Oryctolagus cuniculus: one gene and its partners. The protein of the gene in region 7 interacts with the protein of the main gene of each other region in a pairwise test. Links are inferred from orthologs where the notes say so. Each region holds a gene or a part of one and is shown on either strand. Other genes may lie near its edges. The genes, in order: CSRNP2, PPP1R16A, SH2D4A, PPP1R3C, PPP1R7, PPP1R3B and PPP1CB.

Region 1 (3,500 bases), on a different chromosome or scaffold from region 7:
GGCTTCCAGGACTTCATTGCAGAGAACGAGACGGCAGTGATGCACCTGCAGAGCGCGGAGGAACTGGAGCGGCTCAAGGCGGAGGAAGACTCCAGCGGCTCCAGCGCCAGCCTGGACTCGAGCATCGAGAGCCTGGGCGTGTGCATCCTGGGGGAGCCTCTGGCGGTTCCCGAAGAGCTGTGCCCAGGCCTTACAGCCCCCATCCTCATCCAGGCCCAGCTGCCCCCAGGCTCCTCCGTGCTGTGTTTTGCCGAGAATTCAGACCATCCTGCCGCCTCTCCGGTGAACATGAACAACCCATCGTACTTGAACAGTGGGCCCCTGGTCTACTACCAGGTGGAGCAGAGGCCAGTGTTGGCCGTGAAGGGAGAGCCTGGTCCGGAAGAAGGCCCGGCGCCTTTCCCCAGGGAGAAGGATCTGAGTGTCTTCTCTGTCCCACTTACCTCGCTGGCGGCTCGTCCCCCAGACCCGCCTGCCCCCTGCAGACCCGAGATGGGGAAGACAGCCGCCCTGGAAGCGCTCCTGCCCGAAGACTGCAGCCCCGAGGAGCCCGGCAGTGAAGACTTCCGCCCTTCCTGGTCCCCCTCGAACCTTCCCTTCCGCTCAGACAGTGAGGGCGGCTGTGGGGCGGAGGAGACCTCTCAGCCGAGTGAGGACCGGCCCCCCGAAGAGGCCACCCTCGAGCTCCCTCTGGCCGTGTGACGTGGAGATGGAGACGGCCTCTTCCCCACTCTATTTATTCCCTTATTTTATCGAACGTCATTTCAAAACAAAACTGCAGAAGCGGCTGCTGCTCCCATGTTATTTTATTGGGGTCTTTGGGGAGACGGGAGGGAAAGGATTGTTTGTATACATATTTTTTAAAAGAGAAGCAGTACCAAGGAGACCAGCCCCAGCTCGACCCGGGCTAGAGCCTTGGGGCAGAGGCTGCACTGCGCCCAATACTGAGCTTTCTGGGCCACTGGAACAAAGAAGTAGGATGTCCCAGAGAAGCTGGGTAATGCAAGCAGCTGTTCTTCACGTAGGGACCAGAGCACGAGCTTGGGGACCACTCCTCTCTGGAGCTCCAGGCAGGGCACAAGCTCACTGCTGGCAAGGGCCCGTCCGCTAGCCCGCCTCGGCGTGTTGCAGCACGATTGGAGGAGTCGGGGCCGAATCTAGACAGGAGGGGGCGGAAGGGTGTGTGCTTCTGTACAAAACCTCTAGGGTTTCTAAAACTGTAACCTACCTTCCCCGACTCCCTCTTTGGTACATAAGTTAATATTTGACATGTTCCTTGTTCTCCGACCTGGTCCCCACACTGGAGATTCCTGGTCTGTAACTTGAATTGTTTCTTTCATTTGTTCCTAGGTACTAGAGTTAAACTTGTCGATTTGTCTTTTTTTTTTTTTTCCCCTTTCTTTCTTTCTTCATCCTTTGAAGAAGAAAGCTAGACTGGCTGGGGATGTGGCACCATGAGCCCGAGTCTCCCCTGCTCTGCCAGGCAGCTGCAGGCTGGGGCTCGCCCTCCCGCGAGAGGCCTGTGCGGCGCACTGGCCACGTCCAGAGGAGGCAGCCGGCACAGGTGGCCGCCTGGGAAGTTGACTTTATTGTGTCATGCTTGCTTTTTCGCCCTGGCCCTCCCCCTGCCCCCAGCGTTGGCAGATCTGGGATTTAGTAGAACGTAGGCAATCTGAGGTCACTAACTGGTTTTGGTCCTTTTTTCCTGTATCTTGGATATACAGGGTTAGAGCTGTTTAGATTCCGGTCAGTGCCCAGAACTGCAGGTGTTTAATGGACCTCTCCACTGAAAATCAAAGCCAAATCCATCCTCAAGTGCCACGTGCAACCCCCAGGGCCCAGAGGACTCGGGTTCTGAGCCTAACCTTTGCAGTCTACAGAACGGACTCACTTCCACTTCTCACCTCTGTCGGGGGGTTGGGGCCCAGCTTAGGTTCCGAGACCTGCTCCACTGAACACCACTGATTTCCGTCTAGTAGCAGTTATCTTGGCCTCTGGAGCAAAACATTGTTTTTGCTAGCATCCTTCACACACCATGCTTTACTTCTGCTGTAGTTTAGCAACCTTTTTTTTTTTTTTTTTTTTCTGATGGGAGAGAGAACTATTCCTACTCAGCTTCTCATAAAGCCTTTTTCTGTGGCTGTCAGGGCCCAGCTGTGTTAAAGCAGCCTTCATGTGTGTTGCAGCAGCGTCTCACCTATGAAAACCTCTGATCTCTGATCTGAGCCTGAAAGGCTTCGTACACAGCACAGATCTGTGTGTGACTCACGTCGCTTCCCGTGCATTCCTGAGTTTGCTTGGTTTTGTTTGGAGGGGAGTTCTTAATTAGGCACCTAGGTCCTTCTCTCCCCAAGTCTGAGCCTCACCAAACAGAGCTAGGGGTCTGCCGGAGAACACCCCCAGCTGAGCTGCGTTCCCCACCTCACACTGGTGCCCTGGGAGCTAAGGCAGAGCTGGAGCGAGAATCTGGTCTTTGGGGAGAAGAATCTTTCTTGCGTGTGGTGTTGAAAGGGGAGTGCGAGCTCTCAGGAAGGCTGCAGCTTCATCTAGGAAGCAGATCCCAGCTGCTCTAACAACCGCCGCTGGGCTCAAGCCAGGACGATGAATCTGTAGTTACTCTCCTTGCCGACACTCCCCTCCCCCATGATAATTGAGCAACTGTGCTTTGCTGCTCTCAGTCTCTTTCACTCCGCTTTCCTGATGCACACTGATCCCAGACTTCTGAATGCTAAACATGAACATTTAGCATAAACCGTCTTGTCAAGCAAGGGGCCTTTCTACCACGTGGTCCATTTCATTTCTGGTGCTACCTGAGTTGGACGGGGTTCTAGCTCATGGCTGCTAGGAAAGGCAGGCCTCTGACCAGAGAGCGCGCTTCAGTCCCCCTCAGCCTAGGTCTAGGTAAATGACCCTGATTACTGCGGCTCATCATTCTCCACTTTCCTTTCTCACATACTGTACACAGTGTTTTCAATGTGAATCCAAAGCTTGTCTGGTTCTTTGAAAACTTTTTTTTTTTTTTTTTGCCTTTTAGGTTCCTTACATTGTGATAATGCTGTATTTAAAGAGAATATTTAAATGTAATATTAAAGAAATATTCAAAAGAATGGTGTGTTATTCTTTATCTTGACAGGCCACAATTCTGTTACCTGTTAGGCAAAGAACACTTTGCCAGTTTTGTATATAAAACTAATTAGGTCAGTTAGGAATTAATGTTAACAATAGCAACATTCTGTGATGGAAAAAATAGAACATTCTCTTTGGAGCATCCAGAGCTTGGCTTGCTTTGCGCGCACATACATGAGTAGGCCTGGCTCCTGCTGACGGAGCTGGGCCCTGTCTATGCGGTTCCTACCCTTGGGTCCCTTTTCTCGTTCCATTAACTTTAAAGATGGATGAAACTCTCCATTCCTGGTTACCACCTCCAAACGTCCAACAAAAAGATCGGCTTCCATCCCACCAGAAGTGTCCTGTTCAACCAATCCAATCCCTTTAGTTAA
Region 2 (4,069 bases), on a different chromosome or scaffold from region 7:
CGCAAACACTGCAGTTTTGTTGAAACAGCTCGTCTGTATCGCCTGCCATGCTGCGCTCCACAACGCAACGCGAGGTGGTCTTCTGAGGAAGCCACCTGACCGGCAAAGCTGAAAACTTTTCCCGTCTGCCTACTTGGTGCCATCGTCATCACCTGTTCCTCCCGTCACCTTCTAGTACCCGAGGGCACGTGGCGGCTCCTGTCACTCATGTCTCTGCACCCTATTTCAACATTCTTATAAATATATACAGTTTTTTAAAAGTTTATTTGAAAGGCAGAGTTAGAGAGGAGGAGAGACAGACTCCCCAGTGACCGCAGTGGCTGGGGCTGGGCCAGGCCGAAGCCAGGAGCTTCTTCCAGGTCTCCCACATGGGCCATCTGCTGCTGCTTTCCCAGGCCACTAGCAGGGAGCTGGATCAGAAGCGGAGCAGCCGGGACTGGAACCCGCGCCGCAGGCAGAGGCTGTACTCGCTGGGCCACGAGCCCTTTACTGCGGGCTCCCCTGCTGACCCTCAGACCTCACCCAGTGCTGACCCCAGGACAGCCAGCAGCTGACCACCTGCTGAGTGTGCAGAGCAGCTCCCAGGAGACCGGGACACAGGGCCGGCCTGTACCTGGCCAGGCTCTCGCCCCACCTGCACACAGCTGGGCCAGGGACGCTCAGGGGAGGCTCCCAAAGTCCCTGGAGGTAAACAAACAGCCAGACATCTTGCTCTGGCCACAGGCAGGGGGTCACCCGAGATGGAGCTTCCTGAGGGTCCTGCAGTGCAGACATCACAGGAAGTGGCCCGCGACGCCGCCCAGAGCTCCCGGAGTCCCTGGGACAGAGCCCAAGGTGCGGCCCAAAGATGCCCACGTCCCCTAGCTAGGCGTCTGCTGGCCCAGGCAGCCCTGTGGGGACAGGTGAGGGATGAGGCCAAGACGGGCCAATCAAAGCCGGCAGAGTGGACGTCCAGCGGGGCATCGGCGGAGGGGAGGAACTCCCCGCTCCACCCCAGCTCTGAGCAAGACTGGGCAGGGGGCCTGAGGCAGGGGCAGGCAGCTGACACCTGGGAGCCCTGGACACCCGTCACAGTGAGGGACCGGGAGGTCCCCACAGGCAGCCCCCTCAGGAAACGGGCCCACGCTGGGCCAGGGCAGCGCCGACTCTCTGATGGGCACCAGAGGGCCAGGTGCTGCGGGCAGGGTGGCACCAGAGGGCCAGGTGCTGCGGGCAAGGTGGTACCAGAGGGCCAGGGTGCTGCGGGCAGGGCGGCGCCAGAGGGCCAGAGTGCTGCGGGCAGGGCGGCACCAGAGGGCCAGGTGCTGCGGGCAGGGCGGCACCAGAGGGCCAGGTGCTGCGGGCAGGGCGGCACCAGAGGGCCAGGGTGCTGCGGGCAGGGCGGCACCAGAGGGCCAGGTGCTGCGGGCAGGGCGGCACCAGAGGGCCAGGTGCTGCGGGCAGGGCGGCACCAGAGGGCCAGGGTGCTGCGGGCAGGGTGGCACCAGTGGGCCAGGTGCTGCGGGCAGGGTGGCACCAGAGGGCCAGGTGCTGCGGGCAGGGTGGCACCAGTGGGCCAGGTGCTGCGGGCAGGGCGGCACAAGAGGGCCAGGTGCTGCGGGCAGGGTGGCACCAGAGGGCCAGGTGCTGCGGGCAGGGCGGCACCAGAGGGCCAGGTGCTGCGGGCAGGGTGGCACCAGAGGGCCAGGTGCTGCGGGCAGGGCGGCACAAGAGGGCCAGGTGCTGCGGGCAGGGTGGCACCAGAGGGCCAGGGTGCTGCGGGCAGGGTGGCACCAGAGGGTTAGGGTGCTGCGGGCAGGGCGGCACCAGTGGGCCAGGTGCTGCGGGCAGGGCGGCACCAGAGGGCCAGGGTGCTGCGGGCAGGGTGGCACCAGTGGGCCAGGTGCTGCGGGCAGGGTGGCACCAGAGGGCCAGGGTGCTGCGGGCAGGGCGGTACCAGAGGGCCAGGTGCTGCGGGCAGGGCGGCACCAGAGGGCCAGGTGCTGCGGGCAGGGCGGCACCAGTGGGCCAGGTGCTGCGGGCAGGGTGGCACCAGAGGGCCAGGTGCTGCGGGCAGGGCGGCGCCAGAGGGCCAGGGTGCTGCGGGCAGGGCGGCGCCAGAGGGCCAGGTGCTGCGGGCAGGGCGGCACCAGAGGGCCAGGGTGCTGCGGGCAGGGTGGTACCAGAGGGCCAGGTGCTGCGGGCAGGGTGGCACCAGAGGGCCAGGGTGCTGCGGGCAGGGTGGCACCAGAGGGCCAGGTGCTGCGGGCAGGACCCTGCCCCGCCAGAGCGCGCGGCCCCGCGTCCAGGTAAGACTCAGAGGCGACGGAGAGCGCGGGGCCGGCGCTGGCTCGCGCCACCTCCCCTCTGCGCCCACGCCCCGGCTCCGGCCCACAGGGCCGGCCGCAGGCCGCAGGCACAGCAAGTCCGGGCAAGGCAAGCCCAGCTGACCTCCACGACCGAGGGCCCAGACCCACCTCACACTCGGACAGAAGCAGCGCCCTCGCGGCGGCCTCCACAGGCGGGGCCCGCCAGACCCATCTCCCCAGCGCCCCCACCTGGGTCCGGCTCGGCCGCCTCCTGCCCGGGCAGGGGCCCCGCCCGGCCCCCGATCCCTGGCCCTCGGCCCCGTGCCGCCGCAGGTCCCGGAGCTCTGCGCCTCACCTCGCTCTCGCGCCGGCAGCTGCCCGCGTCTCATCTCCCTCGCAGGGCGGTCAGCAGCTCGCTCTCCTCGGTGCCGCGGGGGCGGGCCCCGCGCCCGGCCTTCGCCATGGCAACGCTACACTTCCGGCCCGCGCGGCCCAGAGCCGGAAGCCGCGGTGCCCCATGGGAGGCGGGGCGGGGCCTGGGCCGCCGGGGCGGGGCGGGGCGGGGCGGGGCGGGAGGCGCGCTCGGGAGGGGCGGGGCGTGCCCCGGGACTGGCGAGGGCCAGGCGTGGGTCGATGGTGTCGCTGTGGCCCGGCCCTCCGGTCGGGTGATCATCCATGTGAGCTGGACTTTTTAGATGTTTTTAGCTTACTCGATTTCATTTTCTTTGAGAGACCCACAGAGCCAGCAAGAGACGGAGGCCCGAGCAAAGCCTCCCGGGTCTCCCACGTGGGTGGCGGGGACCCATCACTGCGGCTGCACGGGGTGCGCACCTGCAGGAAGCTGGGTCGGGGGCCGGAGCTAGGAACTCCGGCATGGGGTATGGGTGTCCCGCCGCCGCGTGTGGGGTCCCGAGGAAGGCGGGAGTTCCCCGCACGTGCCTGCTTGCGCGGGTGGAGGAAGCAGCATGTGCAAGAGAGAGAGGTCCAGGCCGGCACTGGGAACCCCGCCGGCACTCGGGATCATCCTGGCAGCAAGGGAGGCCCCAGGGCGTCCCACGGGAGCCTCACCCCACGGGGATCCCGCTCCCTGACAGTGTCCCGGGGAAAGCAGCACAAGATGGCCGAGTGCCTGGACCCCTGCACCCACGGAGCAGACCTGGATGGAGCTCCCGGGGAGCAGCCCCGCCACTGTGGACATCTGGGGGAGTGAGCCAGCAGGTGGAGGACGTGTGTGTCTGTGTACCTGCCTTTCCAATAAATAAATCAGTCCTTAAAAATAATTTTAAAAAAGGCCAGTAAGGAGGGGCAGGCTTTAGAGCAGTGGTTAGCTCTCACTGGGGACACGCACGTGCCGTGTTGGAGAGCCCCCACTTTCCACCCCAGCTTCCTAAGGCGCTCCCTGGAGGCCCCAGGTGCCGCATGGCGCTGGCGGCTGGGTTCCTGCCACCTCCCTGTGGCTCCTGGCCTCTCCTGGCCCAGCCTCACCTGTCCAACCGACCGGGGAGTAAGCCAGCAGATGAAACGTGTCCCTTTGTGTCTGCTTTTCAAATCAAAGAGAGAACATCTCTGCTGACATAGCGGGTTCAGAAGCCACAGGCACTAACCCCCTACGTGGAGCACAAGAAACAGGAGGCAGAGGGCCCCAACAGGAGTGCCGAGGGGGCAGCCAGCCAGTCGGCCATGGCCGGGGAAGGGCTGACCCCCATGAAGGGCCCGGCAGGAGCCGTGAGGCACCCCCAGGGCACACTCAGCCCCTGCTCCCCACGGGGTGGGCACACAGG
Region 3 (4,176 bases), on a different chromosome or scaffold from region 7:
AAATATATCTGAGAGAGACAGAGAGAGAGAGAGAGGATACTCCTCCTCCAGGAAGGATTGGGCTGGCTCCAAGGCACTGGATTCCAGTGCTGGAGAGTGCACGGTCCAGTGCATGGTTCAGAACCCAGAGGGAAGACCTCTTGATATCCAGCCACCGACCTGCAGAGGGCAGAGCGCCAGCAGCCCAAGGGGTGAGGCTCCTGCTCTGACCATTTTGAATGGGGGCAGCCCTATCAAAAGGACGGCTAGACCCTCAGAACGAAAAGCCTGGAAGTGTAAGATTCACATTCTCTCTCCCCCCTCCCCCTGACACACCCCACCCTGTCCTCTTGATGGCAGAGCTACCGGGCACCCTGCATGCACTGACTCACTTCATCTGCCGGGAACCCATCACCAACCCCTTCTCAGGGAGGAAGCTGGGCCCAGGTCACCGGCTGGGAGGTGCAGAGCCGGGCCATCTGGCAGGAAAGTCTGCCCCCCGCTAGACTGCCCAACACAGGGGCCTGGTTTCTGAATTCATCTCGGCGAACCGTCAGGACACCATCCGGGCCTGCGGCAAGGGAAACGATGACCTAAAGGGGCCTAAGACGGGTGTCGCTCAGGGGCCGAAGCCCCACCCCTGTGGACAGCAGATGAGCTTTAGGGGAGAAGGGATCAGGTTTGAAAACACCCCATGGGGTCAAGCCTCCGCCTGCAGTGCGGGCATCCCATATGGGAGCCGGTTTGCATCCCGGCCGCTCCACTTCCGATCCAGCTCTCTGTGGTGGCCTGGGAAAGCAGTAGAAGATGGCCCACGTTCTTGGGCCCCTGCACCCATGTGGGAGACCTGGAAGAAGCTCCTGGCTCCTGGCTTCAGATGGGCACAACTCTGGCCACTGAGGCCATTTGGGGAATGAACCAGCAGATGGAAGACCTCTCTCTCTAATGTCTCTCTGAAACTCTGCCTCTCAAATAAATAAACAATCTTAAAAGAAAGAAAGAAAACCCGCACCCAGGAGAGGCAGCATGGACAGCGCTGTCAGCCATGCGCTCCTTGTCTGTGCTGGAGGATTTCCACCTGCCTGCACTGTCTGCCCTGCTCGCTCCCCAGCCGCTGGTTTTCCACACGCGCTGGGAGCCACAGGGCAGCCGGTGCAGCCCCTCTCTCGTGTGCAGAACTCAGGGCACGTCTGCGATGGCATCAAGCTCTTTCCATGTTTATGTGGCCTGGCTTTGCCTCCGGCCACCCACGTGGGTTTCCAGCAGGACCGTCAACCAGCCCACCCTCAGGGAAGGCGCCGACTTCCAGCTGAGGGTGAGCTGTTCATTCACACCAGCGTGAAGCAGCTTCACCCCACCAGGCTTGGGATGCCCACGGTGTGCTCACAGAAACCCACAGGGACCCCTGCCTGGCCTCCCAACCCTCCTTCTCCCGAGCTGGAGGACGTGGGGCTTCCTGGGACTCAGTTTCCCCAACCATGCAGTGTGCATGAATCTGCACCATGTAGCATGACCGAGCGTAAGGCTACAAAGCCAGGGAGAACCAGGGTACAGGAAACTGAATGGAGAAATCCACTCAGCAGGGGTTTTTCCCCGGGCACAAACGTTGCCAGCACTGATCCACACCCGAATGGCTCTCCTGGTCTGATAACACCAAGTGCAGGAAACTTCCGGCTGCTCAGGACCCAATAAAACGGAACTTCCCTCTTGAAAGGCAGGGGTGACCAGCCAGGAGCCCACCCCCTCGCTGCTGATTCCCGAAACCAGTTTCTTCAGGGCTTCTGGGCGGATCTGACCCGACTCTCACACTTTTCTCCCCAGTCACTGTTGTAGAACACAACCCTGCTTTTAACGACTCAGACCTAAACAAACCCAAAGACCTGGAAGACCGCTGAAATCCGCGTGGGCACGACATTGAGGTGGGCACGATTTACCTCTCACGTTAAAAATGCGGATGACTGTTTCCAAACAGCTCGCCCTGTTTTTTTTAGATCTTATTCAAGTTATCTCACCCCACCACCACCACCTGCAAAAGGGCTGTTTTTAAGGCTCACCGGGATTGCCAGGGCCGCCAGCACATTTTGGTAAAGTGTGTGAAGAGCCACCATTCTCGGGAATTTGAAATGATCGCATCCACGAATTTGCCCAGAAACACCCACTTGCGCGCCAGGTGGCTGCCCGCCTAATGTCTTTCCACGTATTTACTCTTTAAATTCACCTCACAAGTGCAAAGTAAGTGTGCCCAAGTCACTCCCATTCAACAAGCAGCCAAAAGCCACTTGGGGGAGGGGGTAAGGGCAAAGAGGGTGCAGCGCCCACGGCTTCTCTGAGACCCCCGGGAAGGCAGCGGCGACCCACACAGAAAACCTGCAAGGCGCCCCCTCGAGGGAGCACGGGGACAGCAGCTGGGGGTGCTGGGCGCCGCGACCCCACGTGAGGGCGTCCCGGGAAAGTTAGGGGCGCAGAGGGTCCCCATGGCCCTGCCCCTGAGGGTGACCCCGCCGGAAGCCCCGGACTCCCCTGTGCGCCCTCGGGCCCTCCCTCTCAGGGCGCCCCGGGACGCCGCGCACCCGGCCGCCGGCTCCGTCAGACACCGGACACCGGACACCCTACACCGCACGACCCCAGCCCCACGCGCCGGCCACCCCCGCCCTCAGCACCCACCTGTGCGCGGCCCTGGGCTCGCCGGCGCGCACGCCACGTCCAGCAGGGCGGCCCCGGGAGCTGTGGTGGAGGCGCGGGCTGGCGCGCGCGAGACGCCGAGGCCCGGGCGGAGCCCAGCTCCCGCCCCGCCGCCGCCGCCGCCGCGCCCACAGGCCGCTGAGTGACGGCCGGGCCGGGCGGTGCGCGAGGGCTCGGCCGCGGGCCTTCCCGCGCACGCACGCCGCGGCGCGGGGCCTGCAGGGGGCGGCCCTGCTCAGCCCCCACGGCCGGGTCCCGCGCGCCCCGCGACTCGCCGCTCTGCCTTGTCTCTTCTCGGGCACTTGTGCGGACAGGTGTGGCTCGGCGGGACGGGAAAGGAATGGTGGAGGCGACAGGGGCAGCAAAGGAAAGAAGCCAGGAGGAAGCTAGCACGGGTGGGGTGGCCGTGGTCTACAGAGTTGTGTGCGGGGAGAGCGGCGGCCTCCCCCGGAGAGGTGTGGGCAAAGGTGGCCGTGAGCCCCGGGTGTGCTCCACGCAGCCTGCCTGGCCCGCTCAGGAAGGCCAGGGAAGCAAGGTCCCCTTGCTACCCCACCCCATGCCCAGCTGCAGAAGGTGCTCACAGTTAGTGGGAGCTTGGAGCCGCAGGTTAGAGAACCAGGCATTGGCAGGAAACAACACCTGGGGATGCAGTGGTCATTCTAGCAGATAGAATTTCTGCTTTAAGGTGCTGACTGTGCAAACACATTGGCTCACATTCGTTCACACCACACACTGTAAACTCCAGCTTCTAACCGCGTCACACCTAAGCTATGGGTTTTGCCTCCTGTGTCACCTGGCCTCCAAGTCCCAATGATCCCCATCTCCTGCGACCCACAGTCTTGTGTAGCTTCCTTCCCATGAGGTCCCAGAGTTGCTCCTGGTGACCCACAGAAATGCAAAAGTAAGGATGCATTACTTCCAGGATTATACTAAAAAAACACCTGTGGCTTTTTAAATACTTGTTTATTTGAAAGGCATAGGGGGAGGGAGCGAGAGGGAATGTGGTGGGGAAGGAGAGATCTTCCATTTGCTGGTTTACTTACTCCCCAGTGGCTGGAGTTGGGTCAGGCTGAAGCCAGGAGCCTATACCTCCATCTGAGTCTCCCAAATGGAGCCACCCAAGTACTTGAGGGCCATCTTCTGCTGCTTTCCCAGGCGCATTAACAGGCAGCTGGATCAGAAGCGGAGCTCTGATACGGGATGCTGGCATCTCAGGCGGTGACTGCCACTGAGCCACAACACTGGCCCCACCTATAGCTTCTGTCTTTTTTTTTTTTTTTTTTTTTTTTTTTTTTTTTTTTTTTGACAGGCAGAGTGGACAGTGAGAGAGGGAGAGACAAAGAAAAAGGTCTTCCTCTTCCGTTGGTTCACCCCCAATGGCCACTGCAGCCAGCATGCTGCGGCCAGCACACTGCGCTGATCCGAAGCCAGAAGCCAGGTGCTTCCTCCTGGTCTCCCATGGGGTGCAGGGCCCAAGCACCTGGGCCACCCTCCACTGCACTCCCGAGCCACAGC
Region 4 (4,254 bases), on a different chromosome or scaffold from region 7:
TGCTTTATGTTGAGACACGGTTTCAGAGGCTTCAGTTTATTCACAAAATGTCTTCGTTGAAAGTCATTGTAAGGACCCAGAAAACTCTTCAGAGGGGGCGAATGGGCCAAGCAAAGGCTCATGGCCACATCCACTGGCATGACGGAGCTTGTCAAAGGACGTGGATCTAAGACCTGGATCATTCTGGAATGTAAAAGGGAGAGGGGTCATCACCTGCACTGGGTCCTTACTTCATAAGTACTATTTTTGTGCAGACTGAATTCCAGCCATGTAGTAAGGATCAGGCAGGTGCTGTTCTATGGAGCAGGAGGCGGCAGTGTTAGGTGAGCCCACCTGCATCCTATGTCCACCTTCACTGTCGGCTGACTGCAGGGCTGCGGGTTAACTGCTTAACTTTTTAGGGGTGGGAGGGGTCTCTGTTTCTCCTTCTGCAAAACAGAAGTGTTGGAAACGTAATGATCTCTACACAACTTTAAGAACCAGGGCTCTGAGATGGTTCTCAACCCTGGCTAGTCACTGTGACCTTGAGAATCGGTTGGTTTTCTTTCTTCTTAATTTGAATACTTAGAACCCCTGTGGATGGAGCAAAGGAAGCAGGGATGCTCAGAAAGCCTTCCAGGTGGGTCTAACAATGAGAGAGGTTTGGAAGCCTCAGATCCAGTCCCTCCGCTGCCTTTGCTTATTTTGCTGCTCAATGATTTATGCTGCTTTGGAAAGGTAAGCCACTTGGAAAGAAAAAAGATTCATTAATAAAATTTGTATGCAGTGGTTTTGAGAGTGACAAGGCTAGGGAGAATGGAAGGCAGAAAGTTACCTTTGCACTTTGTCATGTTATTCCTCATGTTTCAGAAGTAACTGACTGAAACAAGTCAGCAGTTCAGGCACTTAAAGAAAAAATTTGCATAACCTGTATTTCCTATGGAAACATGCCCACGGCAAGTCCGCATTTAAGTGGGAAAACTAATGACCTGAAAATTGGGCTTTTTAAAAACTATATATTGTATTTGAACTTATAAATATTTTAAAACTTTATAGAAAACAAACTAAAAAGTTAGTAATTATCTCTAGGTGATAGGATTTCACAATTATTTTTGTCTTTGTACTTTTTTGGATATTTTCTAATGTTTTGGTGATGGACATTTATAAGCGGAAAGACATTAAAGCTATGAAAAATTTTTAACATAACTATGCTCAGCAATAAACCAAGAAGAATCCTTCAAGAAGGCTTTTCTGGTCTTTGGTTCACATTACATTTGGCCAAGGGCATGGGATTGAGAGTTCCCCCGTATTTCAGCCTTATGGATTCAGAGCTATGTGTATCCTGTGCACAATATTTCCAAGTCTGCCTTCATTGCTCATTAGAGCAACTCCAAGCACCAAGCAAGCGCTCATTCTCACAAAATGAATAATAAGGAGCACTCGCAGAACTCACTTTATCAGCGCTGGGATTTTTCTGGGTGACCTGCAGACTTAAACAAATGAAAGCTAAAGCTATCACTCTGGGTCTAATAATAATGAACAGGCTAGATTTTTAGAGAAGGCTTCTGCTAAGTTATGTCTGGGCAAGCTATTAAAAGTAGTTTATGGGAGCCTGGGTTTGTTTGTTGTCTTTTGCATTTATGGAAAGACAGTTTTAGTACTGGGCTATTTCCTTGGAATTTTCAGTCCTGGCCAAGAGTTAAAAATAATAGTTTGCTCCAACTCTGAGACCGAGTTTGCTATGGCGAACCGTGATAAGATTGTGAAAGCGTCCAGTAGTTTTGCACCAAACTAAACTATCTAACCAACAAGATGAGAGGTCTGTTCCCCCAAGCCCGGCTGCCCGCGTCCGAGGAACAGACTTGCAGGACCAAAAGAGAAGTCTTATCAGTGAGGCAGATGGAACTATAGCTGACTCAGGTTTAAACAGTTTCTGGTTAAGGATGCTGATTGCCAACATACGTTCTGCTTAAGACACACACTGCAAATTTCCGTACCTCCCAGGCCCCCTGAGTGCCGGATTCAATCTAGCAATCTGTCAACTTGCCCTCCTCTGGGGTCTCTATCTGCAGAAACGACAGAACGAAAACGCCCCCACCCCATTCCAGTCTGCATGCATCTGCACGTTTCGCCTGACTCGGGGGTTGCAGAGTCGCAGCCAACATACCTGGTGCAGCTCATGAGGCAGAGAGGCGGGGCTGACCGCGAAAGCCTGCACCCCGCTGCCTGCGCACTTTCGCCCTGCAGCTCCCAGCAGTGCCCCCTCGCAGGTCGCTCCCGCAGATTGCGGGTCAGGCGCCAGAGAGACAGCTTATCTGCTCGGAACCACGTGAACGGATCCCTTGGACCAATCGCCGGGCCGCGGGCCCGCTGGCGTGACCAACCAGCGCCCAGCTGCAGCTCGAGCCCTCTCCCCAAGGACGCGATAGCTGCGGGGCTGAATGTGCCCAGCGCCAGCTGGGAGCCCCGGGATTTGGGGACTCCTAGGCCAGCTGGACTGAGCGGCGTAACGCGAACCCTGGGCGAGGGGGTGTGCAGGCAAGTCATGCAAGGAGCCGGGAGGCGGCGCCCAGCTCACCAGCCAGCGCCTCGGGAATCCGTCTGCGGGTGTGTGCACGGCTGAATCTGAGCACAGCAAGTTGTGGCTGGCTCCCGACGTCTTCAACGTTTGCATTGTTCGTTGCTTGGTGTGCTAGCGCACCTTAGCCTCCGCGGGGAGAAGTTTGGCTGAGTGTGTGTGTGTGTGTGTGTGTTTCGCTTAGGGTGAATCCACGAATGCATCATAGTGGGTGCCAGGAACCACCCTCTCAACACGCAGATCCTATAAAACGATAAGACAGCATTTAATTAAAAGGCAATTTGTAAGTTGATCTATTCTTCAGTTTTCTCCCTGGGAGAAAAAACTATAGACAGAAATGAAATGGCCTTTTTCACTCACATGGCCAGCCAAAGCCAGTGGTGAACCCAACTCCCTGGACTGGGTTCTGACGTCCTTTAGCAGTGCTAAAATGTCACGCGAACATTCACGGCCCTCCCAGCACCAGTGCCTTTCTCTGGGCTTTCCTTATTTTGTGCTGGTTGGGGGCGGTTTTTGACCATTCGTCCCAACCTTGAAATTAAGTTTCTAAGTATAAACTGTCTTTATAAAACTTGTATCTAAGTTCTGCTCTACTTAAATATCCAGCAGTCAAAATGTACAAAAAAGATCACGCTGTCTTTTAAAGAACAGTCAGCAGTGGAACGGTTAAAGTGGAGTTACTAAAATGTGGAAGAAGAAATTGGGAAAGATGCTTCAGGTTTGGGCTTCATTTTTTAAATGTAACAACCAGTGAGGGGCAGGGATTCGAGCCTTTTAGCTCAGTCAAAACCAGCTGACAGGGCCCGGGCTTTGGGTGTGGCATTTCCTAGCTCCGTGGATCTGGTCACCGTGGTCTCGGTTTCCTCCGGTGGGAGACAGGGGCAGCAGAATGGTTCTGGACTGTGGGCCAGACCCTGCTCTGTCTACAGATGTCTCACAACAACCCCAGGTAGTGTGTCTCACTCCACTTTAGAGAAAAGAAGACTGAGGCACTGAGGAGGCACGAGACCTACCCAGGACCTCACAGGTGGAGCTGGCTGATGCCAGAGCGAGCCCCACTGCACCAGAATCTCTTCCACTAATTACCCTGGCCGGAAAAACCGTGCAGGGGGAAGGTGCCATAGGTCACATGGGTGGTAACGTTGTTATCAACCTATTTCACAGAGGAGGAACCTAAAACCTAGAGACGCTAAGCTGTTTGCCAGGGGTTGGTTAGGCCGGAGCCCAAACTGGAAGCCTGGGTAGTCCTTTCCTCTGCCCAAAATCATATCTTGAGCTAAAAGGTGAATGTTACCAGCTAATGTTATGGGGAAATGTAAAATTGTAAGAATTTTTTGTGATCTCATTTTGGGAGAGAGATGTGCATGCAGAGTAAATAAAATATGCTTCACTAAAATGTTATCCGTACTTTTATTGAGGTGGTGAACTTATGAGTAACTAAAAATGTCTTTGATGTTTAGCTTCTCTGTATTTTTAAAAATTCCTACAGTGAACATGGATGACTTCTCTAAGAAGTAATTTTTAAATGATTTTAAAATGTGCAACAAGTATAGTTCAACATGTATAGCCCTCCTGCCAGGCACAAGGACTGTGCTGGAAGCTCTCACATACCTCAGCCATTATTCACAACATCCTTTTGTACTTGTTTCCTTTCACTCCACTTTCTCTCCTGCCCCCTGGTGTTGATTAACGCCACA
Region 5 (3,500 bases), on a different chromosome or scaffold from region 7:
TGTGTATGTGGTTTACGTGAAGTGCCTGTGTATGAGTGGAGGGGCATGAATGAGGTGTGTACATGAGTTGTATGCACACAAAGTACGTGTGTATGAAGTGTGTGAAGTGTGGGGCCAGCACTGCGGTGTAGTAGGTTAAGCCACTGCCTGTGACACCAGCATCCCATATGGGCATGGGTTCAAGTCCTATATTTATTTATTTATTTTCTTTAAAGATTTATTTCATTTATTTGAAAGTCAGAGTTACACAGAGAGAAGAGAGGCAGAGAGAGAGAGAGCGAGAGAGAGAGGTCTTCCATCTGTTGGTTCACTCCCCAGATGGCTGCCAACAGTTGGAGCTGCGCTGATCTGAAGCCAGGAGCCAGGAGCTTCTTCCAGGTCTCCCACGCGGGTGCAGGGGCCCAAGGACTTGGGCCACATTCTACTGCTTTCCCAGGCCACAGCAGAGAGCTGGATCGGAAGAGGAGCAGCCGGGACTAGAACTGGCGTCCATATGAGATGCTGGCACCACAGGTGGAGGATTAACCTACTGTGCCACAGCACCGGCCCCCCATTGCTCCACTTCTGACCCAGCTCTTCCCACGGCATCTGGGAAAGCAGTGGAAGATGGCCCAAGTCCTTGGGCCCCTGCACCCATGTGGGAGACCGGGATGAAACTCCTGACTCCTGGCTTTGGCCTGGCCCTTGAGGGCATTTGGGGAGTGAACCAGCAGATGGAAGACCTCTCTTTCGCTCTCTGTGTCTCTCTAACTCTGAATCCTACATGGGTGCTGGTTCGATTCTCAGCTGCTTCACTTCTGATCCCACTCTGTTATGGCCTGGAAAGCAGTGGAAGATGGTCCAAGTGCTTGGGCCCCCGCACCTGCGTGGGAGGCTCAGTAGAAGCTCCTGGCTTCTCCCTGGCTGTTGCAGCGGTGTGGGACGTGAACCAGCAGATGGAAAATCTCCCTTTATTTCTCTCTGTCTCCTTCTCTAACTCTGCCTTTCAAATAAATAAAACAAATGCTTACCAAAAACGTGTGTGAACTGTGTACAAAAAGTGTGTGACAGGAAGTGTGTGTATGTGAAGTGTATGTGTATACAGTGGAAGTGTGTATACAAAGCATGTGTGTGCATGAAGTATGTGAAGTCTGCATGTGTGTGAACTATATGTGAAGTCTGTGTGTGAACTGTATGTGAACCATGTGAGAACAGGGTGTGAAGTCTGTGTGAATGTGTGTGTGAAGTCTGAGTGTGAAGTCTGTGTGTGAACCATGTGAGAACAGGGTGTGAAGTCTGTGTGAATGTGTGTGTGTGTGAAGTCTGTGGGATCTAAGGTCTCAGTCACCAACAGGGAAGCAAAGCACTGCTGGTGGGACACAGTGAGGTCCACAATGGGCTGGGGCCACAGGTCTGGCCTGCAGGAAGTGTGGAGCCGTACCTGCATGCTGAGGACGGTCAGGTTGGTAAGTGCGTCCAGGTTCTGCAGTTTAGTGATTTTGTTTTTCCCCAAAAACAGACTTTCCAGATTGGTTAATGTGTCGATATTTTCAATTGCCTGTGAAAAGGACAGAGCAGTGGTGAGCAAGGAGACCTCCAAGCTCACCAGAGAGGGAAGATGCCTGGGCCATATCTGCTCTGCAGACTTCCCCGCGAACCCATGCATGAAAGAACAGGGTGAGGGCACGGGCACGGGCACGGGCACAGGAGAGTGGTGAAGGATCCTGACCCCCACGTGGTCAGAGCTCTGGGTGAGGATACAGCCTGAGAGCCCCTGGCACACAGGACTTCGCAGGCCCAGCGGGTTCTGTGCTCACAATAGCCTTGGCCTTCACGGGGGGCTCTGACCCTAGGACTTCAGGATCCGGAGTCCACTCTGCACTGTTCCCAGGCTGCGCACTGCTGCCCCCGCTGCAGCCACACGTCCTGCCAGCACCCGTGCACCTCCACCTCCCAAGCCAGGACCAGGCTGTCCCGTCTGCTTCCCCCGGTGCCTGGGCACTGTGCATAGCTGAGTTTCCCTCTGGTCAGCTCACCACACTCTAGAACAAGCCGCACGTTTCACCTGACAATAACCACACTGAGCTCACACGCACCAAGTGGGGACTCCCACAGGCAGGGGCAGGCCGATTTCTGAGTCACTTTCTCCTGGGAGTTCTTCAGCGAGACACTTGGCGAAACGCTGACCCCTGGGCTGCTCAAACCAACCTCCCTTGGTCTGCACCTGCCTGGCCATCAGGGTGAGGCATCCTCTGATGCTTCCAGAGCCTTGTGGAGATGGCTGGGAGTGCTGGCCTCAGCTGGGCAAGCAGAGGCTCTTGGCCCGTCCGTGCCATCAGGGCGCCAGGCGTGGGCTTGCGTGGACCTCTGGCAACAGAATTCCTTGTCCCAGCCCCAGGCAAGTCCCTTGCCTCCTCTCCCCCACGACGGTCCCTCTGTGACCTGTCCAGGATTCCCGACAGATGCCCGGGGCTGTTCACAGTTGTCAAAGACACTGCCCGCTCTGTCTACGGACACCACAGTGCTCCTCCCAGTCTCAAGGTCAGGTGGACCCTGGAGAGGTGCTGACCCTACCCTGCTGGGGGATGCGTCCCAGGCACACAGCTGTCTGGGCAGGAGGGGCCCACCCAGCACTGTGTTCTGGGCAGCTCGGCATGGACGTCAGGCAGTGCCTGCTGGGACCTGTGTGCAGGAGCCAGGCTGGGCCACCTAGTGTGGAAACAGGATTTATCCACACTGACTTCCTATCAGTGTTTTCCTCAAGACACTAATCCTCCTTTGCTGGAAAAATCCACAGCGTGACAAGCCACAGAGCCAACCACACGCGCTGCCTGCAGCCCTGTTCAGCCCACACAGCCTGGGGGAGGGACAGCAGCCTGTGCTGTCCGTGCCACCAGCACCTACCCGGATGCGGTTTGAGCCCAGCTCCAGCATCTGCAGCTGATGCAGGGTGCCGATGTTCTCAATCTTATTAATTTTATTGTTGACCAAGAAGAGTTTTTTCAGTCGTGTCAATTTGTCAATCCCTTCGATGTTTCTCAGCAGATTAAAAGAAATATCTAGAATTCTGGGAACAAGCAAAACAATTCTTCTTTAATGAGCAGAGGTTATACAGAGCTCTGAGTTTAACTAGAGAGAAGGGGTAGCCGTCTGGGTGCAGTCTCTGTGGGGTGGAACCTGACTGTGGCCCTGCTCCTGCCTGGTGCGCACCAGCGTGGTGGTCCCTCAGGACTCTAGAGAGCCGGGGGGCAGCCCACGGGTCCCGGGACTGCATCTGGCAGAGTTCCACTGCAGGACCCCACACCTGCTCTGCACGTGGAAGGGGCCTGAGTCAAAACAAACAGAACTCCGGGGCCACAGGGGCCCAGGGGCAGCTGTGTTCGGGTCCCAGCTCCTGTGTTTTTACAATTATCACTTATTCTTTTATTTTTAGAATTATCATTTACTCTTTTATTGTCTAAAAAAAGGATTCATGGGGTGAGCATCTGTCCGCATCCCATCCTGGAATGCCTGGGCTCAAC
Region 6 (4,221 bases), about 95 Mb from region 7:
TGTGTGCCACTGTAACGTCAGGTGAGGACACTGGCCCTGGCGGCCTCAGTCTCGGCTATGCCGTGACTGCCTTGCCTGTCCTCGTAACAGACTCCAACTTTATCAACCCAATCGTCCCCCAAGAATCAGTGCACCAAAGTGCCCATTTGGAGTGGGCTGTCTGTCTGCTCAAGTCTTTCCCCGGGACTGGGCGGGGATGACTACCACCCTTAGCAGCTGAGATGTGCAAAGTAATACTTTTTTATGTCCCTGAGAGGACAGCACCTGGACAGGTGCTTCATTTGCAGATGGCATGAAAATGACCAGTTCCAACACAGGAGTGCCAGGCTGTACGTGCGGCCTCCTCTCCTGTTATACTCTCTGGCTGCTCCAGCCCTTTCCCTCTGCCAGGCCAAGGACTATAAATCCCCACGGTTGGCAAGGGACAAACACCAGAGCCAGGAGATACGGACACATACTTGAACCGCAGTATGGGACGTGGGATCTGAGTGGCAGCTGCCAGACGGGCACATGAGAGCAACAGTAGCTGTTCCCCGGGCCACGCTGTGTCCCCAGCCACTGAGCTTTCACGTGGACACCTCCGAGGTCAGCTGTGCCTGGCAAGGGCCCGGGCCATGCCCCAGAGTAGACGCCAGTGTTCACAGCCCAGACTCTAACATTCCATGAACACGAGAGTTCTGCATAAAGGCCTCCCATGATCTGCGAGTGACACGTAGTAACACACCTTTCCTGGCCAGCTGGCCAGGGCGAGGCACGGCGGTGACTTTTCTTACAAAAACTGCCGACTGTACGGGCAGTTACCCCGTGACCTCCATTCACAGCACAGCCACTGACCGCTCTGATTGTGCATTTTATAGGAAGCAAATCTTCTTTGTATTGGGGCCGAGGCATTTTTCCTTCCATTCTCTCTCTCCCTCTCTCTTTCTCTCTTTTGATAAGAAAAACCAGATGCATGAACAACTCACGGGCAGCACACAAATGCATCGGACTACATTAGGAAAGCATCCACAAGCAGGTCATAGACACAGACATGGCTATTTACCCCTCCCCCGCTTCACCAATCTCTTCCCTCCCCAGAGGTCTGGCTGATCCAGCAGAGATAAAGTTCACTTTGCTTCCTTTTGTCCTCAGGCCAGCGGGCCTTGTCCCCAGCCTTCAAAGCCCCTCGGACCCCTCCTCACCATCATACAAAGCACACTGCAGATGAGTATTTGTGACCCAGGCTGCAGGTCACAGGAAAGAGCTAAGTTAAAAGGGAACAGAGCTGGCCATCCAAAAATGGCCACAGGGAGGCCCAGAGACAGCTCTGTCCTAACAAGGCGTCCACCCAGCTGTGCTGCTAGGACAAGTCGCTGGCTTCTTCCAGGTCCCGCCTAGGCGGCCAACGAGGTCCGACACTTGTCTTCCCACCGGCTTCTCCCTGCATACCTCAACTTGACTTCGGGTTCAGTCCTCCCGCTGGCTTCACTCTGGTCTTGGCTCCCGGACAACTCTGCCAGATGAACCACTTCCTCCTCTCCTCCTCCTCTCCCCCAGCCGAAACCATACCTCTCTCTTCTCCCGGACCCTGTGCCCCGCAGGGAGGCTGCCCACACACCCCACTCACGCCAGCTGCCCCACACGCCCCCAAGGCCAGCCTTCCCCCAACTTCTCCCCTCCCGCGCAGCCCCCAACTCCTCCGCTCCCCTTCTGGGTCTGCACCTACTCTTTCGCAGCGACTGGCCTCTCCACACCCCCTTCTCTGAGCTCAACAGGGGCCTGGCGTCAGACCAGTGCGTCCACACTGCCGGGGGCCCACAAGCCCCTCTGCGACTCTGCCCCCCTCACCTCAGCCCAGCAGAGCCGCACTGGGCCCTCCTGCTCGCGCTGCACCCACCTTTCGGGCCGCGGAGAAGCCCCCTCCCCAGGTGTGCTCGCTGCATCCGAGGGCCGGGAGGGAGGTGACAGGGGCGGCCGCCGCCACCCAACTACGTGAGCGTCTCTGTGTCCCGGAGGCAGGGCCGACGTGACCGGCAGGGGGAGGAAGACGACGAGGAGGAGGAGGAGCCCGACTTATCACACCGGGGCGGGGCGGGGCGAGCCGGCGGGGCTGCGCGGGGCACGAGCACCCCCGCGCGGGCCGCCTGGCCGCGGCCTCCCCGCACAGCCCGGGTCTGGGGCTCGGAGGACACCCTACGTCCCGCCGCCCTCGGGGACCGAGACACCACCTAGTGCGACAACTTCTGTGCGCAAGTCCATTTGGGTGTGGAGACGGCTCGCTCTCGTGGTTCTCACTTTTCGGGGAAACTGAGGCGCGCGCAGAGGCCAAGCGGCTGGCTCTTGCCCGCCACACCCCTACTCTGCAGCGAGAAAGGGGCCATTTGCGAGCCGGGGACAACAGCGGGGGAGGGAACCTGCAGTCCCGGGCCAGCCCCAGGGCCGCCCGTTGCGGTGGGACCTGTAGCTCGGTGGAACACGGGTCCCTAACGCGCCCGCTCCACGTGGGGGCAACAGTTTGTTCCAGCCCGTCTGGGGCGTCCCTGTGCGGGTGTGCACGTACGAGTCGGACTGTGGGCGCGGGGGTGGGAGGTACGTACCGGATACAGCTCGTAAGTCCACAGGGCAGCCACGCAGGGCGTGACAGGGGCAGCGATCGCGACGGCAGGAGCCGGGGCCAGGGTCTGCGCCCTCCGCGGGCAGCCGCGTCCCTGCGCGGGCGCGAGCTGCCCGCTCACCTCCTCTCTCCCGCCCCCGACGTCGTCGCCCAGGACTCGGGCTCCCGCGGCCCCAGCTGCTCCCTTTAACTTTCTGGTCGCTCGCTCCCCAACTCGAGGTTTTCCATCCCAGACCCCCTTTCACGTGAACGCCCCCCGCAGCCAATGAGCGCGCCCGGGACACGAGCCGCCGACCAATAGCCGCGGCCCGGCGGGGAAGCAGCGCTCAGCCACGTGATCTGCAGCGTGCCCGGAGTGATAGGGCTGGAGTCCAGGGGCTGCGAAGGGGCGGTGGGTCACCGCTTCCCCAGGAGCCCGAGGCCGGGCGCCAGGGGGCGGAGGCAGGTTGGTGCACCCGAGCGCCTCGGACGCGGGCGGCATGCAAAGTTTTCCGTGCCCAGGCCAAGTGCTAGCCAAACCCAGGAGCGCTGCGTGCCTGGCAGGCAGCTGGGGTGGCTTCCTGCTGCCTCGCCGGCCCCTCAGCCACCTGACCCTTCCAGCTGCGTAGCTCTCAGGGGACTGTTAACCTTCCAGTCGCCTGCAGAGCCGGGAGGGGGCCCTGAGAGGGGTCATCAAGGCTACTCCCCTGCACTCTACAGGGACCCTCCTCAGGAATCCGTGTCCTAAGTTGCTTCCGGTGTGTGGGAAGCAGGTGCTGGCCCTTGCCTTGTGCCCATCGTACCGGGGTGTTGCCAGAAAGGATGACAGCAGATTCCTTGGAAGGTGGTATTGGGGTGGGGGGACCACCACCCATAGTACCCACAGAGTACCCCAGATGTGGCCGAGGGGTTCTCAGGGGGAATGAGAGGGGGAGCATCAAAAAGTTCATGGAAATTAGAATTAAAATGCAAATGTATTTTGGTGGAAAAAGTTTTGAAATCCATGCATAGGAGTCTGCAAAAAGTTCATGAATATGCATATTCTGAGGAATATATGTCTGGATTTAAATTTTTAAAAGATTTATTTATTTGAAAGGCAGAGTGCCGGAGAGGTAATGGGAGAGAGAGAGAGAGAGAGAGAGAGAGAGAGAATCTTCCATCCCTAAATGCTCACAACAGTCCTGGGCCAGGTCAAGCCAAAGTCAGGAGCCAAGAACTCCATCCAAGTCTCCCCAGTACTTGGGTGGCAGGGTCTCTTTTTATATATATATATATTTTATTATAAACACTTTTATTTAGTAAATATAATTTTCCAAAGTACAGTTATGGATTACAATGGCTTCCCCCACCATAACTTCCCTCTCACCCGCAACCCTCCCATCTCCCACTCCCTCTCCCCTTCCATTCACATCAAGATTCATTTTCAATTCTCTTTATATACAGAAGATCTAGTTAGTATGTATTAAGTAAAGCTTTCATCAGTTTGGGTGGCGGGTCTCAAGGACTTGGGCACCCATCTGCTGCTTCCCAGGCCCATTAGCAGCAGGAGGCTGCATTGCAAGTATGGAGTAGCCTGGACTAGGACTGGGCACTCCAATGTGAGATGTCACTGCTCTTCATGTGAGGTCCCGTCATATTTTACAAGAGAA
Region 7 (3,500 bases):
TCCCAGGAGCCAGGAACTTCTTTCAGGTCTCCTATGTGGGTAGTAGGGACCCAAGCACCTGGGCCATCTTCCTCAGCTTTTCCCAGGACATTAGCAGGGAGCTGGATCAAAAGTGGAGCAGCCGGAACTTGAACTGGCACCCATTTGGGATGCCGGCTTTGAAGGCTGAGGCTTTACCCACAATGCCACAACGCTGGCTCCAAAGCATTTACAATGGTACAATCTAGGTAATGGCTTTGTCTCTCCCACTGCCTTCTTTACACAAGTCATTCAGATGTCTCAAAAATAAAATGAGAGGGACTGTGTGAAGTTAACAAATATTAAGCTATCCACAACTCTTATAGTTCATACCTGATGAGCTCGACAAATCAGGTCTAAATCATGACGATTCAGAAATTTACTGACTACATCAGCGCCAAAAGTGAAGGAAACACCACGGTCATTTTCTCCCCAGCCTTGCACGTCCTTGTCTGGGTCAGACCACAGTAAATCACAGAGCAAACCTTTAAAGAACAGAAATACAGCAATGAAAAAGAAAAAAAGGAAAAATAAAACACAAAAACTTCGACTAAAGGACATCTACATCACATCTCTTTTCCTGCCCTCTTACCCTTCAATAAACAATGGTAATTATTTGCCCCCAAGTATCTCAGCCTAGCTAACTCATTCAACAAGACTGCCTGGCCTCTTAAGAGAAGTACTGGAACCAGTCCTACAGAGAGGAAATCTGTACGACATGCTCTAAGTTCATTTTTTCTGAATTTTTACACACGAATAAATGATTGACTCAGTAGCATTTTTTTTCTTTTTTCAGGATATTCATTTATTTATTTATTATCTGAAAGGCAGTAAGAGAGAGAAGGAGAGACACAGAGATCTTCCATCTGCTGGTTCACTCCCCAAATGGCCGCAAAGACTGGGGCTGTGCCAGGCGTAAGCTGGGAGCTTCATCTGGGTCTCCCATTGAGTGCAAGAGCCTAAGGGCTTGGGCCAACCTCACTTGCCTTCCCAGGCACAACTGTAGGGAGCTGGGTTAGAAGTGGAGCAGCTGGGGCTCTAGCACTGCAGGCCACAGCTTTAACTTGCTGAGCCACAGTGCTGGCCCCTGTAGCATTTTTCATCCCTTCCTTATGGAGTTACGCTGTTACTGAGCACTATAATCTACTCCACTAGACTATTTATCCCCGAGCCCATAACACACCAGAGGTTTTCAGTAAGTCTTTATAAAAAGCTCATGGGGCTAGTATCCCCACATTTTTCTCTCTTCAGGACTGTCTTGGTTATTTTGACTCCTTTGTTCTTCCACATAAAGTTCAGAACCAGCTTGCTTAAGTCCATGAAAACTCAACTGTAATATCACTGGGATTGCATTTAACCTACGGACCAATCTGAGGAAAGAAAAATATCTTCTCCTTAGATCTGAAGGATTTAAAAGGAAAGTATGGTGGAACAAAATCAGACTAATCCTGAACTTTAGTAATGTTTTGGTCAAAAGAGGTCAGAACTGGGACTGGCACAGTGGCGTAGTAGGTTAATCCTCCGCCTGCGGTGCTGGCATCCCACATGGGTGCTGGTTCTAGTCCCGGCTGCTCCTCTTCCAACCCAGCTCTCTGCTATGGCCTGGGAAAGCAGCAGAAGACGGCCCAAGTCCTTGGGCCCCTGCACCCATGTGGGAGACTGGGAAGAAGCTCCTGGGTCCTGGCTTCAGATCAGCGCAGCTCCGGCCATTGTGGCCATTTGGGGAGTGAACCAATGGACAGAAGACCTTTCTCTCTCTCTCTCTCTCTCACGGTCTATAACTCTACCTCTCAAATAAAATAAATAAAAATCTTTAAATAAATAAATAAAAAAAAGAGGTCAGAACTAGAAATACTTATCTTAGCATCTTCAATAGATAAAGAGTAATGGAAATCTTAGAATTCAAACCACCTTGAAACCATAAAGTGAGAAGACCGGGGAATGAGCAAAGAAATAGTGAGGAGGAATGATCAAAATAAACAACAACAAAAACAATTGGCAAAGATTTCCTAAAAGGATAAAGAATTGTCTAGAAGTTGGAAATGGTTAAGTTTCAATGCCACAAATATATGGAGTAAGACAAAGAACAAATATAGGCCAATTATAGTAAATTATCAGACCTTAATGAAAGTAGATTCAATGGTTCAGGGTAGGATACTTAAGTAAAAGTTGAACTGTAGTGACATCAGGAGTGGACAATGAAATGGTGATATTAAATAATTTTTTAAGAATTACAATGGCTAATGAAGTTTTTAACCATTGGACCAAATGTCTGCCCCAGGGAAGGTGTTTTTAATACAATGAGATGGTTTAAGATTTTTAAAATTTATTATCTTTTATTCTTAAAAAAATTTAGTTATATTTATTTGAAAGACAAACAGATTATCTTTCATCTGTTGGTTTACTCTTCAAATGCCCAAAACAGCTGGGGCTAGTCCAGGCTAAAGCCAGGAGCTGGGAACTCAATTTGGGTCTACCACATGGGTGGCAGGATCCAAGCCCCAAGACCATCATCGGCTGCCTCCCAGAGTGCAACTTAGCAGGAAGCTGAAATCAGAAGCAGGGTCAGGACTCGAACCCAGGCACTTGAATAAGGAACATGGGCATCCTGGGTGATGTCTTAACCACTGCATCAAACTCCGTATTACAGCTTATCCTGAAAGATCTCCATAGGAGAATTATCTAAAATACAACAGAATTAATGGCAATGTATTAAATTTCCATCATCGATATTTCCTAAACTCCTGCTATTATGTTTTAAGGAATTCGCCAACACAAAAAATCCACTGGAATATGTAGTCTCAATTCATAAGCCCTTTCTGGTTGAAGCTCTTCACATATCTCCAGCACTCTTTAATGCTTCCCACTTTCCAGTCTGATCCTTGAGATGAAAGCAGTGAGCAGAAAGCCAAGATACTGCGGCCAGCATGGCAGTGAGCTAAGCTGCTGCCTACAATGCTGGCGTCCTATAACAGAGGGCTGGTTTGAGCTCTGGCTGCTCTATTTCCCATCTGCTCCCTACTGATGGTCTTGGGAAAGCAGCAGAGGACAGATCAAGTATTTAAGCCTCTGTCACTCACGTGAGAGACCCACCGGGATGGAGTTTTTAACTCCTAGCTTCAGCCTAGACATCCCAGCCTTGGAAATCATCTGGGGAGAGTGAACCAGCACACAGGAAAATGTTCTCTCTCTCCCTGTCTCTCAGCAACACTCTGCCTTTCAAATAAATCTTTAAAAACAAAAAAAAGGCACCAAGATACTAAGACTCTATAATTTCAGTGACAACCTGTAAAACCACAAAGTAGCTGGCTTCAAGATTTTTGAGTGTGGATGCATACAATATAAAATAATAACAGCAACAACAATCTGGAATTCCGCAACCTTAATGGAGTCAGATAAGAATTTCAGAGTCAAGATTCAATGTTTAAAGAACAAGCATTGAATTAATTTGGCTACTGTTTCAAAGATTACATTAATTTATA

The links.
Region 1: the proteins of PPP1CB (region 7) and CSRNP2 interact in binary tests that used the Homo sapiens proteins (3 or more experiments, as listed by UniProt). The two-hybrid records come from large-scale screens. The link is inferred for Oryctolagus cuniculus from reciprocal best matches to the Homo sapiens genes PPP1CB and CSRNP2.
Region 2: the proteins of PPP1CB (region 7) and PPP1R16A interact in binary tests that used the Homo sapiens proteins (3 or more experiments, as listed by UniProt). The two-hybrid records come from large-scale screens. The link is inferred for Oryctolagus cuniculus from reciprocal best matches to the Homo sapiens genes PPP1CB and PPP1R16A.
Region 3: the proteins of PPP1CB (region 7) and SH2D4A interact in binary tests that used the Homo sapiens proteins (3 or more experiments, as listed by UniProt). The two-hybrid records come from large-scale screens. The link is inferred for Oryctolagus cuniculus from reciprocal best matches to the Homo sapiens genes PPP1CB and SH2D4A.
Region 4: the proteins of PPP1CB (region 7) and PPP1R3C interact in binary tests that used the Homo sapiens proteins (3 or more experiments, as listed by UniProt). The two-hybrid records come from large-scale screens. The link is inferred for Oryctolagus cuniculus from reciprocal best matches to the Homo sapiens genes PPP1CB and PPP1R3C.
Region 5: the proteins of PPP1CB (region 7) and PPP1R7 interact in binary tests that used the Homo sapiens proteins (3 or more experiments, as listed by UniProt). The link is inferred for Oryctolagus cuniculus from reciprocal best matches to the Homo sapiens genes PPP1CB and PPP1R7.
Region 6: the proteins of PPP1CB (region 7) and PPP1R3B interact in a two-hybrid assay, tested with the Homo sapiens proteins (2 studies listed by BioGRID and IntAct). The link is inferred for Oryctolagus cuniculus from reciprocal best matches to the Homo sapiens genes PPP1CB and PPP1R3B.

Annotation. Positions count from the first base shown.
Region 1 is NC_091442.1:54,540,235-54,543,734, reverse strand, and holds the end of CSRNP2 (cysteine/serine-rich nuclear protein 2), read left to right. Parts: coding exon 1-702; 3' UTR 703-3,104; downstream 3,105-3,500. UniProt on the Homo sapiens protein: Binds to the consensus sequence 5'-AGAGTG-3' and has transcriptional activator activity. May play a role in apoptosis.
Region 2 is NC_091437.1:168,177,306-168,181,374, reverse strand, and holds the start of PPP1R16A (protein phosphatase 1 regulatory subunit 16A), read right to left. Parts: upstream 2,801-4,069; 5' UTR 2,644-2,800; intron 1-2,643. UniProt on the Homo sapiens protein: Inhibits protein phosphatase 1 activity toward phosphorylase, myosin light chain and myosin substrates.
Region 3 is NC_091439.1:3,497,812-3,501,987, forward strand, and holds the start of SH2D4A (SH2 domain-containing protein 4A), read right to left. Parts: upstream 2,801-4,176; 5' UTR 2,644-2,800; intron 1-2,643. UniProt on the Homo sapiens protein: Inhibits estrogen-induced cell proliferation by competing with PLCG for binding to ESR1, blocking the effect of estrogen on PLCG and repressing estrogen-induced proliferation. May play a role in T-cell development and function.
Region 4 is NC_091446.1:38,806,694-38,810,947, reverse strand, and holds the start of PPP1R3C (protein phosphatase 1 regulatory subunit 3C), read right to left. Parts: upstream 2,801-4,254; 5' UTR 2,527-2,800; coding exon 2,147-2,526; intron 184-2,146; coding exon 1-183.
Region 5 is NC_091434.1:516,581-520,080, forward strand, and holds part of PPP1R7 (protein phosphatase 1 regulatory subunit 7), read right to left. Parts: intron 3,047-3,500; coding exon 2,884-3,046; intron 1,538-2,883; coding exon 1,421-1,537; intron 1-1,420. UniProt on the Homo sapiens protein: Regulatory subunit of protein phosphatase 1.
Region 6 is NC_091433.1:78,798,559-78,802,779, forward strand, and holds the start of PPP1R3B (protein phosphatase 1 regulatory subunit 3B), read right to left. Parts: upstream 2,801-4,221; 5' UTR 2,577-2,800; intron 2,034-2,576; exon of another isoform or gene 1,877-2,033; intron 1-1,876. UniProt on the Homo sapiens protein: Acts as a glycogen-targeting subunit for phosphatase PP1. Facilitates interaction of the PP1 with enzymes of the glycogen metabolism and regulates its activity.
Region 7 is NC_091433.1:174,168,179-174,171,678, forward strand, and holds part of PPP1CB (serine/threonine-protein phosphatase PP1-beta catalytic subunit), read right to left. Parts: intron 504-3,500; coding exon 352-503; intron 1-351. UniProt on the Homo sapiens protein: Protein phosphatase that associates with over 200 regulatory proteins to form highly specific holoenzymes which dephosphorylate hundreds of biological targets.